Arabidopsis thaliana: one gene and its partner. The protein of the gene in region 1 interacts with the protein of each later gene in a pairwise test. Each region holds a gene or a part of one and is shown in the gene's direction. Other genes may lie near its edges.

Region 1 (7,563 bases):
GTCGAAACCAAACGCTGATCATCATCATCATAATTAAAGGTTTTCTCATAGAATCAAAATGATGGGATTCTCTTTACCAAGTCCTCTTTCCACCGTGAGGTACAAAGTTTGAAGTCGATCTTGACCGTTTATCTCCAAACCCACCACCACGTCCTCCTCCTCTTGGCCTGAAGTTTCTTCCACCACCTGAACCTGAACAAATCAACAAAATTGAATCAGATCCTCGTACCAAAATTTAGCAAGATTGATTGAACTCATCAAATGAGAGAAGAGAAATGAGGTTTCACCTCCATAACCAGAACCAGATGATCGGACTAGTGCGGAGAGAGTAGGAGGTACAACTTGACCAGCTTCTTGAAGGATCTTGACAAGCTCTCTCGCAAACTTAGCATTGTCATGTGTGAAGAATGTAAAGGCCATTCCTTTAGCTCCTGCACGCCCGGTTCGACCAATCCTATGGATGTAATCCTCCAATGTATTTGGGAAATCATAATTAACCACACATTTAATGTCCTTCACATCTGTAAAACAAAACAAAAGAAGAAAGAAGGAACACAGTTGAGAAGTAAATCATAGACTGAGATGAAATGCAGGAAGAAGAACAGAAATTTCTTTGTGTAAATGAGTTTGGTGTTTAAAGCCTAGCTAAGGAGAGGATAGAGAACAAGAACCCCTTATCCCTACAACTGCAGATCTGGAAAGATCAAGAAACTAAGAGCAACACATTTTTCCCAAGTAAATGTGCCCACCTTAACTTGCAGGGATAAGGAGTGTTTGGGACGGCGTTATAACACTATTAATGCATGCAGGTGTCAGTCGCCCAGGCTGCTCAAAAACCAATCAGCTCCATGCCCGGGAGATGGATGCAGGAAACAAATTCTTCAAAGAAGCTCCTTTTTTCTTTCTATGTGCTTTTTTCCCTAATACCAGAGGAAACTGTGGAAAGCGGCAGCCAGGCGACTTTTTTTATTATCTTTAAAACCCCAAGAAAACGAAATGCTCTAAGTATAATCTCTCCTATTGTGTATCACAGTTAATCCTACCAAGTCCCCTTGCTGCTACATCAGTGGCAGTCATTATCGGGCTTCGTCCACTCTTAAATTCTGCCAAGACTCGGTCTCTTTCCGATTGGGTCTTGTCACCATGTATGGCAAGAGCTGGCCATCCGTCCATTCTCAATTGTCTAGTCACTTGATCACACCCTCTCTTTGTCTCCACAAAAATTAGGATTTTACTCCCATCCATTAACTGTTTAAGTAGTGTAAGGAGCCTATCAAACGAGAAAAAAGGCATAAGTATCATATCATATAAGAAGGCAAATAAATATATATATAAATCGTTTCTTATCTAATGACAGAAAAATTAAGAACCTGTTGTATTTCTCTGGCGTCGGTACAATCTCGATTACTTGGTTAATAGACTGGTTAGCTTTTAGATCTGTTGATCCAATAATGGCCTACAAAATAACAACTGTTTTCAGTGCACAACATAAAACATCCCCTACTTTATTCAACAACAGTATACTCAATCCTAATAAGTTAAACTAAATAGCAAGTAAACCTTATATGGATCTCGTAGAAACTGCCTGGCAAGAGTTTCAACCTCTCGTGGCCATGTTGCACTCCAAAGAAGTGTTTGTCTATCAGGTCGGATCTGTGAAAAATAAGGAACAATCTCAAGTTCTGAACAAAAGCCGTGATGGTTCTTATTTAGCAACAGAACAATAAACTGGGAAGATAAAATCTATCGACTAATAATGTTGGTCAACCACCCTTTCCTTAAAGACACTACATGATAGCTTTGGAGAAAGTACAAACATACCTGAGATACAATCTTTCTAATTTGGGGTTCAAATCCCATGTCTAACATTCTGTCAGCCTCATCCAGTACAAGGTAAGTCACTCTCTTCAAATTAGTGTGTTGACATTCCAACATATCAATCAAACGACCAGGTGTAGCAATTACAATCTCAACACCTGACAAGCCAATCATGATTCATAAACTTTGATGTTCCATCCAAGAACCAGACATGAAAACTACACTATTAAAAAATAAAATACCTCTTCTAAGATCACGAATCTGAGGTCCTTTAGGAGCACCACCATAGATACAAGTACTTCTAACACCAGACCTCAACCCGAATTTCCTTGATTCCTCTTGAATCTGAACAGCTAGTTCTCTTGTGGGAGCTAATATTAACACAATGGGGCCATCATCCTGACCTATATTACACCCCAACAATGCAAATAAAAAAGTTGCCGGAAAAATGAATGCAGCTTAAATCAGAATATCACATAGTGCTGTAATACTCACCTAATCGAGGTTGTGCACTAACGTGAACCAATGCTGGTAACAAGTAAGCCAATGTCTTACCAGAGCCAGTCTCAGCAATACCAATCAAATCCCTACCCTTCAACGCCATCGGCCATCCCTGAGCTTGTATAGGTGTTGGCTCAGTAAATCCCAATTTAGCAATTGCTTCAAGAATGTTATCTAACAGATAAAAGGAACCATTAAACTAAGAACCCAAATTAGATATAAATGAACTGGAAACTCTATGACCAATCCAATCAAAATACCTGGAAAGTTAGCATCTTGGAACATCTTCATCGGCTTAGGAACATCACGACCTTCAACGGATATATCCCTCTCGGTTCTGTACATTGCAACATCCTGCTCTGTCATAGCTTGCACAGTGGGACTCTCCACATAGAAATTCTTCTCAAAATGTACAAGATTCCCAAAATTCTGCTTCGGAAGAGAAACACTATCTAGCTCTCTTTTACTCGATCCGCCACGTCCTCCTCCTCCTCCCCAATTCCCTCCGCCGTTTCTATCGCCGTATTGACCATATCCACCTCTTCCACCACCGCGGCCAACAGAGAAACCGCCACTAGGTGGCTGGAAAGATGGGTACCGATTATAGCCGGAATTATCACCGGCCATTACCGGAGATGGTCCATATCCTCCACCACCACCAGTGTACCGTGGGTTGTATGGTGCGGCGGAAGGATCCATCGGCTGAGACGAACCAACTGGGGCGCTAAAGTAACACAGAGAAGATAAGTGTTACAGATCGAAGGAAACAAAAACGAAGAAATTGGTCGATTGGTTTCACTTACCCAGAGCGTTGGCGATACGAATTTGGATCAGCAAATCTACGATCATACGAGCTCATTGTAACTTAAGATGGTTATGGTTTTTGATCTCTCGCTCTCTCGCGTAAATTCTACTACGTAACCTTGGAAACGAATTGATGCTACAGAAGGAAGATAGTGCAAGGAAGACGACGAAAAGCCGCAAAAGGAACAAAAAGCTTAGATTTTTTTTTTGATTCGTTTTGGACAGTAAAATTCCCAAATTAGTAACCCTAATTTGTCCCACCATTTTTCTGTTCTTTTTATTGCGCGAATTTAATTAATTTCCTTTATTTTGTTGGTAATCAGATATGGGCCATGACTAACCACTTAATGGGCTACAAATTGGACCCAAACAATTGTTTAACTTAAATTATTGGAGGTTTTGTGATGGGGGAGTCTATTGCTTTAAACATTTTGCCAACAGTGTCGAATCAAATTTGGAAAATCTTAAAGTTGCGATGGGATTTTTCAGACATACCATCTCATGAGTCATGTGACTACACCAATCCTAGTCATAATACATATTTTCTGGAATAATACCATATACTGTATGTTATTTTCTAACTAGTGAAAAAGTATACATTTGACTTGACCCATAATGCACAGTATTTATAAAATCGAATCATTAACATTACATGGCCATAAGGTCATACTTGACATATTTATAATTTCAAACATAATAATGTTCTTGCAGCAAAAAAAATAATAAAAAAACAAAATCATGTTCAGAGCAATCAGTAAAATTGATGGTAATTAACAATAACATTAACATGGAAGAGACTGCCAAGAGGAAGGTACAAATCAGATTCAGCATTCAATATTTGATTAAAATTTTATGACTAGTTTTCTTTGATGACCAAACGTCTATAATGATGAGCGACTTTTAAGAAAGAAGATTTCTTCAAAATGGAATCAATTAAACAAAAGAATATTCCATTGTTGGAAATAACAGAATTGTCCAAAATGCCCATAGAAGATCCAAGGAATTTTCTATTTGCCCATACGCGTAATATCCCACCATGACATCACTCCTTCCCTATAAAACCCATCCATCTGCAACCTTTCTTCTTGGTTTAAGACACCAAAAACAAACACTCAATTATAAAAAGCTTCCCTCTTCTCTCCCAAATCTTCAAAAATTCAAAAAAAACTAACAATGGTAGCCGTTGATTATACCGAGAAGAACAGTGGAAGCAGTCTCAAGTTTCTATGCAGTTACGGTGGCAGAATCCTCCCTCGCTCCACCGACGGCAAGCTCCGTTACGTCGGAGGTCACACCAGAGTCCTCTCCGTTGATCGTTCTATCTCTTTCTCAGGTTCGTCTCCACTTCAATTTCGTATTGAAATCGATTCTATTTCCGATTTCGCCGAATCTGAGATTGATTTTTTAATTTTGTTTCTCCAGAGCTGATGAAGAAACTCTATGAATTCTGTGGATACTCCGTTGATTTACGATGTCAATTACCAAACGGAGATCTCGAGACTCTAATCTCCGTCAAATCAGAAGAAGAACTAGCGGAGATCGTTGAAGAGTACGATCGCATCTGCGGAGCCAAGATCCGTGCCGTTCTATCACCTCCGAGATCTTCGCATAAGACCGAATCTTCGCCGTCTTCAAGCGGTGATCGATCTCCAAAATCGCCGTTCTCCGTCACGCCTTCACCGCCAAATTCTCCGTCGCCGGCGTATGGAAGATATCTACAATCTCGGTATTGTTTACCTTCCACGGATCTTCCTCCGAGAAGATACATTCAGAGAGCGGAAGAATCGCATTGCTGCTATGCGTGTCGTGTACACAAAGACTCTAGGCTCGTTTGGCATTGACGGAGATTGGGGAAATAATCGAATATACGCCATAGATACGAATACCATGATAATGACGAAGAAGACGCAATTAAAGGATTTAATTTAGGGTTTTTAGAAATTTTTACGATGTGTTGATTTTTTGTGAAGAGAAGAATTAAAATTTTCCTATACAATTACCGGTCGGAGACGTAACCGACGGAGAAATTAATTTAGACGGAGTATATACCGGGACGTTAGTGGCCGTTACTAACCGTTAGAGTCGCCGTTACGACGTGTTTACACGTACGACGTTTGTTTTTTTGTTAAACGTGATACGTGGCGAATAGTGAGATCATCTCGTGTAAATATCGGAGATGTGAACACGTGTGTTGTCCGTGGATTAGTTACGTCACACGTGTCAACCTTTCGTCTTCTGGAGTTTGTTTTTCTTAACGAGGTTCTTTTTTATTTTACTTGTTTGATAAGTAATTTTTTAATTGTTTTCTCAACTTTATAATATTCGATTTTTTTTGTCTGTCTCATCAGGATTAGAGAAGGACATGAGATTACTCACAGTCTCACACGGAGTTCCTTTGTTTATTCGATTCAAAATTTTGCCCGACTTGAGAAAAGGACCATCAAATATATTAATTAATCAGAAAACTATTGGAAAAAGAAATGTTAGTCGGCGTATTTTAGTTGACTTCCTAAATATTCGCAACTTGTGAATGGGACAGATGGAGGAGTGGAGAACTAAAGAATGAATAAGTTGGTGAGCAAATTGTCCCATCTTAACTTGAAAACTTGGAACTCCACAAAAAATATTTGAAGTTGTTCATTGATTATTTCGAATCAAATTTTGAAGTAACAGTACCACATATTTCTTGTTTTTCAGCATTATTTGTTGAAATATCAACCAACCAGCACACGAAATTGGGCTTTCTTAGCATTTTTATACATATTTAAAGTCAGAAACGAATCTCAAATTATTAATTCATACAACCAATCATGTTCTTGTTTTTTATGCTTTTGGCCAAATAAAATTTATTCACGTAAAACCCAACTACATATGTTTTCGTTTAAATTTGTATTATTTCTGGTCAAATATCTTACCCGTAGTTGGCATGTACAGGCCGGTCTAAATTTTGAAAAATGTCATCATCATCAAATCACTACAATCTATAAACCATAAAATTCAATGTCAATACACTAACACAATTAACACCATGAGATTGAGACAATTAACTACGAATAATCCACTGACTAACCTTAGGGCCAAAAGTGAACATTTCAGTCGTTCCTAAGAAAAGAAAAAAACCTGGTTTACAAAGTCAGAATCACAGTCGTTTTATCACAAGAAGATTTAGATAAGGGTCCTCAAGTTTCAAGCCAATGCCATCAATAACCCTTGTGTATTTTCGGCCTCAAGATTATTTATCCGGTTTCTTGCTCAAACTCTTCACCATCTGATTCCTCTGCATTATCTGCATCATCATCCTCTGCTTCATTATCATCCTCTTCTTGTTCGTTGTTGACGACTGGTTTTCCAATTACCGGTAAAGCAGGACTCATCTTTCTGATCTCGTTGCACTGCACCAAACCCAAGACAACAAGAATTTACTTAGAACTTGTCTTAAAACATTCATAACAACAACACTGAAACTGACAATTAGCTCTACTGATCTCTCTCACTTTTGAGCTCCCACGTCTATATAATCACACAATCTAATATATTTAAGAAGAACATATAATTAGAGGTAACACCAACACATCACACGACAAGGAGACATGTTGTCTAAAGTTCACAATGGCTAAATTCCAAATCTGCAAATTTTGTCTTTGCTTCTTTCCTTTCACTTGCTAGTGATTCAGGAAACGGAACTAGTTTTCAAACATTGGAAAACATGTAACAATAAACTCAAATCCTTTTCCATACTAAATCTAGAAACCAAAAATCTCTCCAATTTAAACTCGAAGATCACCCTTGGATCTTTATACATTATTACGGGTCTAAAGCTATAAGATGATAGTCCAATGAACACAAATGCATATATCCATAGAGTCTACACTGGAAAAACCACTACACTAGAATCACAACTCGACATTGGTATCCACTAAAATTCTCACTTTTGTACTAACTTAAAACTCAAACATAGGACCCAAAAGAATATGTTCCAAAGCAGAAAGATTCAGAAACTCATATTCATCTTATCAATATGAAGTAGAGAAGAAAGTGATCTGCCTAAAACCAAAATCATCACCACGGATCGAAAAAGATTGATCATTTACAAAGTAGAAACCACTTATAATCTCGAACACAATCAATAAATTTCACTCATAATCAGCTCAACTTACATGAAACTAAAGATCTAAGATTGACCTTTTATGCTGCCTGTAGTGACAGTCGAAAACTGAAAATTTCCTATTCAGCAGATTCCGAAGGAGAACGAATACATAAATAAAAAAGAAGGAAGCTACCTTTTCTTCGAACTCAGCTTCTTCCATGGCGAGAAGAATCTCCTCGTTCTGCGGCTGAGGCCATTGTAACGGAAGCAAATACGATGCCGGAATCGTCTTCGTCGACGACGGAAATTGGGTCATCAACGTCGGAAACTGTAACATTCTTCTTCTCTTCCTT
Region 2 (8,388 bases), on another chromosome or scaffold:
TGATAGCAAGCTGCTGAAGGTAAGTAAGATTGTGCTGTAGTAGTTAATTACATCTCCCTAATTTTCTGTAGCTAATGCATATTCCTTTTGTTGTTGGCCTTTGTTTTTTTTGACTAAAGACAATGGATATCTCTAAGATGGCTGCTGGAGATGCTTCCTTCACAGCTCCGTTTAAGCTCGTCGCACAACGAAATGACCATATCCATGCCCTTGTAGCCTACTTCGATGTGTCATTCACTATGTGTCACAAGAAGATGGGTTTCTCAACAGGTTCGACTTCCCTAAACATGAGTGAAATATGTTGATGTTTGTCAATGTTTGGTACTCACATTACAAGTCACAACATGCAATGCAGGACCGAAATCGCGGGCTACGCATTGGAAACAAACTGTGCTGTACCTGGAAGATGTGTTAACCATATGCGAGGGTGAAACAATCACAGGAAGCATGACCATTGCACAAAACAAAAAGAATCCCAGAGACGTCGACATAAAGCTCAGCTATTCTTTGAACGGCCAACATTGCAATATCTCAAGGACCCACTTCTATAAGATGCGCTAAAAGCTCTCAGAGGATGTAAAATCCCCCACAAGTACCTTTCATCATCTTGAGGCTGAGATGGACAAATCTCATTTGTATCTCTACTGTTTCCATTATTGCTGCTTATGTTTCAGAATTAGATATTAACCATCTCTCTCTTTCTCTCTCACTGTGCGTCTCTTCCTCTATGATAGTTTCTTGTTCCTCTCGACCACAATATTCGTTTGGTTCAAGAAACCTAAGCAAATACGACAATAGTGTATATATCACACAACTAATTACAATTTGATTTGACCGCTTACAAACAAGTTCATTCAGATGTAGAGAAGGATCGATAACAAACTTTAAAAATTGGATATAGTCAGGCCTTGGAAGTATCGCCTTGGGTCAGACTTTAGTTGTTTCACATGGCGTGGACGCTGGATCTCAGTGGCAACAATAATCAATATTTCACGTGGTATGGCATTAATTTTGATCATATGCATTATTTGATTATTCATCGTTATATGCCCACTTTGAGAGATCCGATAGAAACAAAAATAGAAAAGAAAAACATCACAAAAGAGATCTGTGGTTTGATTTGGATCACCATGGAAAAAGTAGAGGTACCACCAATTCATAACCATCCGCTGTTACCTTTTACTCGTTTTTCCTACAAGGCTTGTAAAGGGTGTGGGTATGTTGGTTACATATATGGAGGCTACCATTGCAATGAGTTGGGGTGTGAATCTGTGTTTCATAAAGAGTGTGCCGACCCGTTACCAGAAATCAACCACTATTCTCATCCAGACCATCCTCTAAAGCTCCTCATAAATGTCGAACCACTTGCTTCTTGTAGCCAGTGTCCATCTTCGTTTGAAAATGGTTATCTTTGTTCGATTTGTGACTTCAAGTTGGATTTTCGTTGCGCGACGAGGTTGCCTTTGGAATTTATTCTTGAAGAATCCACTGTCCACGAGCATCCGATTCAGCTCTCTGATGGAACCCGTGACGGTTTTGTGCAACTTTGCAAAACATGCAAATGGGGAGTTTTCGATGCTGTTCATTACAAATGTAATAAATGCGATTTACGCTTTCATGTGGAGTGTACCAAACTTTTTCCACAAGCTAGCCACGTTTTACACCCCCAACACCCACTCAAGCTCCTTAGATGTGAAGAAGCACCCGATTACGCCGACAACAAGTGTCTTCTTTGCGGGAATAAGTTTGACGGACGAATTCACCACTGTGATGTTTGTAACTTTACCATATGTGGCGGCTGTATGGAAAACCCACCGCCGCTTAGTGTTGTAAGCCCGACCACCCATGAGCATCAACTTTATCTTCTTTCAAAACCTCTCGGTTTCACTTGCAATGCTTGCGGGACTCAAGCTGATCAAAGCCCTTATTTCTGTCTTCAATGCAACTTCATGATTCATTGGGAGTGTATCGATTTGCCCCGCGTCATAAACATCAACCGCCACGATCATCGCATCTCCTACACTCGTCGTCTTGGACATGGGCAAAATACATGCGGGGTTTGTCGTAAAAAGGTTGATGGCTTCTACGGGGGTTATTCTTGCTCAAAATGTTCTAACTATGTTGTTCACTCGAGATGCGCAACGGACGAGGATGTATGGGACATGATAGAGCTAGAAGGGACACCCGAAGAGCCAGAGGAAGATGCGCCATTCGAGGTGATTGATGATAACACGATCAAACATTTTAGCCATGATCATAACTTAGTAATCAACAAGGATGGGAGGATTCTCCATGAAAGCACACTATGTAAAGCATGTGTCTTCCAGATCTGTTCAGATGCGTTCTACAGTTGCGAGAATTGTGACTTCATTCTCCACCAAAAATGTGCTAACCTGCCTCGGAAGAAACGGCATGTTTGCGACAACCTACCATTTACCCTAGTCACAAATGATACTTCAGACGAAACTTCATGTGATCTTTGTTGGCAAAGTTTCACCGGTTTCAGGTACGAGTGTCTTACTCGTATGGTTACTCTAGATGTACGATGTGGTTCAATTCGAGAACCATTGGTGCACCAAAGCCATCAACATCCCTTATACTTTTCGAAACGTAGTTCTAAGTCTTGTACGGAATGTGGCAAAAACATGGATCTAGATATAGGAAGCTTTAGCTGTGATGAGTGTGACTATAGTTTGGACTTCAAGTGTGCTCTTTTACCGCAGAAAGTAAAGTGGCATAGATACGACGATCATCCTCTTTACTTGTCGTGTGGTGAAAGTAGTGTGGATGGAGAATACTGGTGTGAAGCATGTGAAACAAAAGTGAATTCGAAGAAATGGTTCTATACATGCAATGATTGTGGTGTCATATTGCATATTTCATGCGTTGTGGGAGACTTCTCATATTATATGCCAGGTTCCAAAATAGGATGGGAGGAAGACTTGGTGGTATCCAACACCTCTATGTGTAGACCATTTTGCTATGTGTGTAACTCTCAATGCAAGCTTCCTTCCATTGTTAAGGTCGTTTCCAAAGCCGATGTTGTTTTATACATTTGTTCTTTAAACTGTTATTATAATTTCAACCGCTCTAATAACTACTCTAGTAGTGATTGGTAAGGCATGTTTTAATGAAGAAAAACTTTGTACCATTTAATTCCAAAAGTATGTTTTACAATAGTTTTTTTTTAACCTCAAGCTTATGCGCTTTTTCCACAATTATCAATCTTTTGAATCCAGTCAGCAGCAGTCTCAATGATCTTAGAAACAGAATTTCTTAACAGGATATTTAAAAGAACAAGTTTCTTGACATTAGAGCTGGAACTGGAATCTGGTCTCTGTTTTGTGCTAAAGCAAGAGCAGCTCATGTATACGCAGTATGTCTTTTTAACTTCTTTATTAATCAAAATTTGCTCTGAGTGATTTGAATACATGTGATTTGACAAATGATTCTTCGAATGTTTCAGATGGTATATATATGTTAACTTTATAGTGTTATTCAAATGGGTTATACAATCTGATGGTGGAAATAGAACTTACTTTTGGCTGTATAAAAATTAAAAAACAAAGATTGGCCCAATCCTGGTCTTAAAGACAAAAATACAAATCTTTTGGTCTGAAATTACATAAAAGTTAGTGGATGCAATACAATAATAAAACTTTGGTTTCAGAGACTTGAATGCAGCAAAGTCTACCTCCAAAGCTACTTGGCCAAGGAGTTGTGTGGTTCAGACTTCAAACTGTTTTTTCCACAAAATGTACAGTTCCATCCATTTAAATTCTAAACTATTCTATCCATAAACTTCTATTCCATTTAATGCAAGAAAAAACCTTTTTTGTATTCATTCAATTATTTATGTTTTGGCCGGACACAATAGTTGCAGAGTCAACATATGTGGTCTGAGTTAATTAAATAATGCAAGGATGAAGCCAACACATGTGGTCTCAATCTCAGTAATGAAAAGAATCATTTCTGTGGTGCGAATTCATATTAACTATTTGCAAAGTCTGAAAATGATAAACCACTTGAAAAAAAATCCTGAAAGAAAAGAAAGAGAGAAAAACAAGAAACCAAGTCTGAAACTAGTGCAGAAGAGAAGAGCTTTGTGTTTTGGTGGAAGTAAGAAAACATCACCATGGAAAACTTTCTAGCTTTGTTTAATGAAGGCATGGACGAAGAAGCATCCCGCCTTGAAAAATTGTTACCATTTCATGAGCATCCGTTGATACCTTTTACACGCTTCGAGTTCACCAAGTGTAAAGGATGCTACTCGACCGATGAAGATAATACAAGCTTCATTTCCAAACATCCCGGTTGCAGTTACATTTACGGAGGACACCGATGCAATGAGCCGGGATGTGATGTTGTGTTCCATGAAGAGTGCGCCAAGCCGTTACCAGAAATCGACCACCCTTACCATCCAGTCCATCCTCTCAAGCTGATCCTCCTACATACCAGAGTTTCTAATTGTAGTTTCTGTGGAGAATTTTTCAGTGTCGGTTATCGCTGTAACAAATGTGATTTCCAGTTGGATTTGATTTGCGCGAGGAGACCAGCCCTACTTGTTCTTGCTGAAAACTCCTACCTACACGAGCATCCACTCCAACTCTCCCATGAAGCGCACGAAACACTCAGAGATTGCAAAGGGTGTGGCCATCAACATAATAGCTGGAAACATTTCTACACATGTCATCAATGCGAGTTTTTCATCAGTCTGGATTGTATCGATCATAATAGTCCAGAAGCATACCACACTTCTCACCCCCAACACCCACTCAAGTCACTTAGATATGAAGTCCCTGGTTACGCCGACAAGAAATGTCTTCTTTGCCGCGAGGAGTTTGATGGAATCCATCGCCAGCTTCACCACTGTGGTGTTTGTAATTTTAGCATATGCAGATCATGTATGAAAAACCCACCACCGGTTCTTGTTAAAAGCCCGAGGACCCATGAACATCAACTTCACCTTGTTCCAAGACGCATTGACTTCACTTGCAATGCTTGTGGGACGCTAGGTGACCGTAGCCCTTATTTCTGTCTTCAGTGCAATTTCATGATTCATCGGGAATGTATCGATCTACCTCGCGTCATAAACATCAACCGCCACGACCACCGCATCTCTTACACCCCTCGCCTCGGACATGGAGACGGGAAATGCAGAGTTTGTCGTAAAAATGTGGATGGGTTCTACGGGGCTTATTCTTGCTCCAAATGTTTTGATTATTTTGTTCATTCAAGATGCGCAACCAGAAGGGATGTATGGGACATGATCGAACTGGAAGGGACACCCGAAGAAGAGGAAACTGCGCCATTCAAGGTGATTGATGACAACACGATAGACCATTACGGCCATAAGCATAACTTACGAATTTACCGTGGCTGGAATCTACCAGAAAGTGTAGTTTGTACCGCATGTGTCTTCCAGATTTGTTCAGAACCGTTCTACGCTTGCGCGAGAAAGAGATGCGATTTCATAATCCACGAAAAATGTGCCAAGCTTCCTTTAAAGAAACGTCATGTGTGCCACAACCAGCCACTCGAACTATCCCCAAATTATGGCACCTACTTGTTACATAGGTGTAGTATTTGCCGTCAACTGTTCACCGGTTTCTCCTATGAATCTAAGGAATTAAGGATAGATGTACGGTGCGCTACAGTTACAGAACCATTTGAGCACAAAAGCCATCAACATCCTTTACACTACTCTACAGATCACTCCAAACGTTGTAGTGAGTGTGATGGAGACGGGAAATTGAGTTGCGATGATTGTGAATTTGGTTTGTGCTTCAAGTGTGCTATTTTACCGCAAAAGGTAATGAGGCATAGGTACGACGATCATCCTCTCTTCTTATCTTATGGCGAAATGGGCGTGGCTGGCAAATATTGGTGTGAAGCATGCGAAACAACTGTGAACCCAGAAAAATGGTTCTATACATGCAATGAGTGTGGGATCACATTGCATATTTCCTGCGTTATAGATACTTACGCATATTCCATGCCAGGAGCGTTAACATGGATAGGAACATTTGTATCCAACCACTCTATTTGTAGACCACTTTGCTGCGTGTGCAACTCTCGATGCAAGCTCCCTTTCGTTCGTACGCTTCCCGAGGACGGAGCTGATCTATACTTTTGTTCTTTAGAATGTGAGAAGAAAATTTATCAGGAACGTTTCGAATTTTAAAATTATGTTCTTTACTATGTTTAGAAAACTATTTATTTATAGATGATAATGTTTGCTAGCTTGAATGACTCGCAAATTTGGTAGAATTTGTGAGGAATCTGGGTCTGTTAAATTATTACAAGTCCCTACAATAACATTTGGTTGTGTACTTGTGTTAGTGTAATATATATATATCTCATTGAACCCTAGGGTGCATTAGTGTTTGCCAAATAAAAACCAGAAAAAATATCAACTTATTTATGGATGTAAGATTGGAAAAGGTTGGATCAATCTTGCCAGTCAATCCACTAAATGTTTAAGTTCCTACAAGTCGAAATGTCAATGACAAAAACAGAGACGTGGAAGTGAGAACAGAGCAGAGCAAAACAGAACATAGCAGAGTAAGTCAGTCAGAGCAGGTTGTGTTGTAGAATCACATTAGTTCTCTGATAGAGAAGCCAAAAAACTCAGTTTGTGTTGTTGAACTTGGAACAGAATGAGAACAAGTTAATCACTAAAAAATGTTTGTGTCACCGTCATGTTGCGACCTTAAAACAGAGCCCCCTAATAATTTTTTGTTACACTGGTTCTATTGAATCTATTTTATGGAAAAACTATTACACAATTTGGTTTACCAATACATTGATCCCTATCAAGGAAGCTATGGTTTCAGGCACTGAGCACACTGAAGAGTAATAGAGATTAACAATGCAAACATCATCAAGCCATGTAATTCTGCAGTTTTCAACTTAAAAAGTCAAAAAAATTATGATTTTTCATTCAACCAAAGAAAACTGATGCTCCATTATTACAACAAAACTGTTTCCGTGTAATTCCACAGACCATTACAATTGATTCTTCAGACTATCTAGGAGAAAACAAAAAACCTAGATATGGAATTCTAGAGCTAGAATACTTATCGAATTTTCAAAACTGAGTAAAAAAAAAAAAGTAAACATCAAACAACAAACAACATTGATTAACGATGTGGTCCAAGACAAGTCTCTTGTTGTTTGGGTCTGGCTGCATCAAACAAGCTTGAGATTTTCGGCTGATCAATTCTTTAAGCTAACCTTCCTCATTGATTTACGCCAACTTCATCCTCCTTAACGCTTCCACAAACATTACATTCAAGAACTCTCGAAGCATCATGAGTCTTCGGGGGAAGCGGAGCTAGAGTGCCAAAACAATTCTCCTTCTCACACATATATCTCACAAAAAAGTAAGCATGAGGAAAATTAGATTCATCATCCACACCATTTCCACAAACTTCTTCTTCATTCTCACCTACTGAATCTTCCATCTCTTCTTGTTCATCTTGATCCTCCATCTCTTCCATAATCTCATTCTCATCTTCCTCACCTTCAGACCAACTAAATTCCACTTTGCACCGATCACAGTCACACTTAAAACCGTAATCCTCAAGCAATCTCTTTTGTCTACTCGAATAGTTCATGTTCACAGGGAAGTAGCTTAAACAAACTTCTCTACCTTCAGGAACATCATGAATCATCCTAATGATGATATCAGTATTACCATCAGAAGCAGAGTCAACATAATCGAATCTACAAGCATTAGGAAGACAATCATGATTGAAAAACGAAGTCTTTGGATAAATCCCATAAGCTCGCACAGATCTTTTCTCATTCGAAACAGAGCACGGTTCCATCAGACCAAAGGCGTTAACTTTATCCTTTGACAGTAAAGCCGCCGTGAGATCCGGCGAGATAGACACCGGAAGAGATGGACACACGGAAGATAAAAGAGAATGAAGAAACCCAGCAGCTGCAGAATCACCCGCAGAACAAGAAGGATCTCCATTGCTGCTGCCACTACCTTGGAGAGAGAGCAAAATCTGGAAATCAGAAGGAGAAGCAGCGGCGAGATTGTAAGCAGAGAGGAGGAAACGAGCTTGGACTTGACGATCAGAAGGTTGATCGGAGAATGCAGAGGAGGATGATTGGTGAAGCCGGCGAAGAGATTCGCAGAGCCAAGGAGTATGAGAGGCGAAGCAATTAGGGCTACAAAAGGAGACGAGAGAGCAAGATTGACATTTCTGATGCGCCGATGAAGCTAACAAACGGAAACAATGGTCGCAGTAAGGAGAAACAGAGGAGGAGAGAAATGGAAAAGCAGAGTAGAGAAGGAGAGGAGACTCTCTGAGGATAACTTGTCCAGCACGAAGAGACTGTGCCGCCACCAAACTCCTTCCTCTTCCACCGATT

Evidence for each region. The genes of interacting proteins can lie anywhere in the genome.
Region 2: the proteins of AT5G63130 (region 1) and AT2G19650 interact in a two-hybrid assay, tested with the Arabidopsis thaliana proteins (one large-scale study listed by BioGRID).

Annotation. Positions count from the first base shown.
Region 1 is NC_003076.8:25,318,894-25,326,456, forward strand, and holds AT5G63130 (Octicosapeptide/Phox/Bem1p family protein), read left to right. Parts: upstream 1-4,081; 5' UTR 4,082-4,296; coding exon 4,297-4,456; intron 4,457-4,545; coding exon 4,546-4,964; 3' UTR 4,965-5,846; downstream 5,847-7,563. Other genes in the region: AT5G63120 (P-loop containing nucleoside triphosphate hydrolases superfamily protein), read right to left, coding at 74-192, 288-521, 1,044-1,270, 1,371-1,456, 1,561-1,653, 1,822-1,976, 2,061-2,222, 2,314-2,493 and 2 more; AT5G63135 (transcription termination factor), read right to left, coding at 6,360-6,515, 7,404-7,547.
Region 2 is NC_003071.7:8,491,451-8,499,838, reverse strand, and holds AT2G19650 (Cysteine/Histidine-rich C1 domain family protein), read left to right. Parts: upstream 1-3,946; 5' UTR 3,947-4,135; coding exon 4,136-6,184; 3' UTR 6,185-6,370; downstream 6,371-8,388. Other genes in the region: PRMT1A (protein arginine methyltransferase 1A), read left to right, coding at 1-19, 120-270, 356-561; AT2G19660 (Cysteine/Histidine-rich C1 domain family protein), read left to right, coding at 1,047-3,119; ASHR2 (ASH1-related protein 2), read right to left, coding at 7,242-8,388.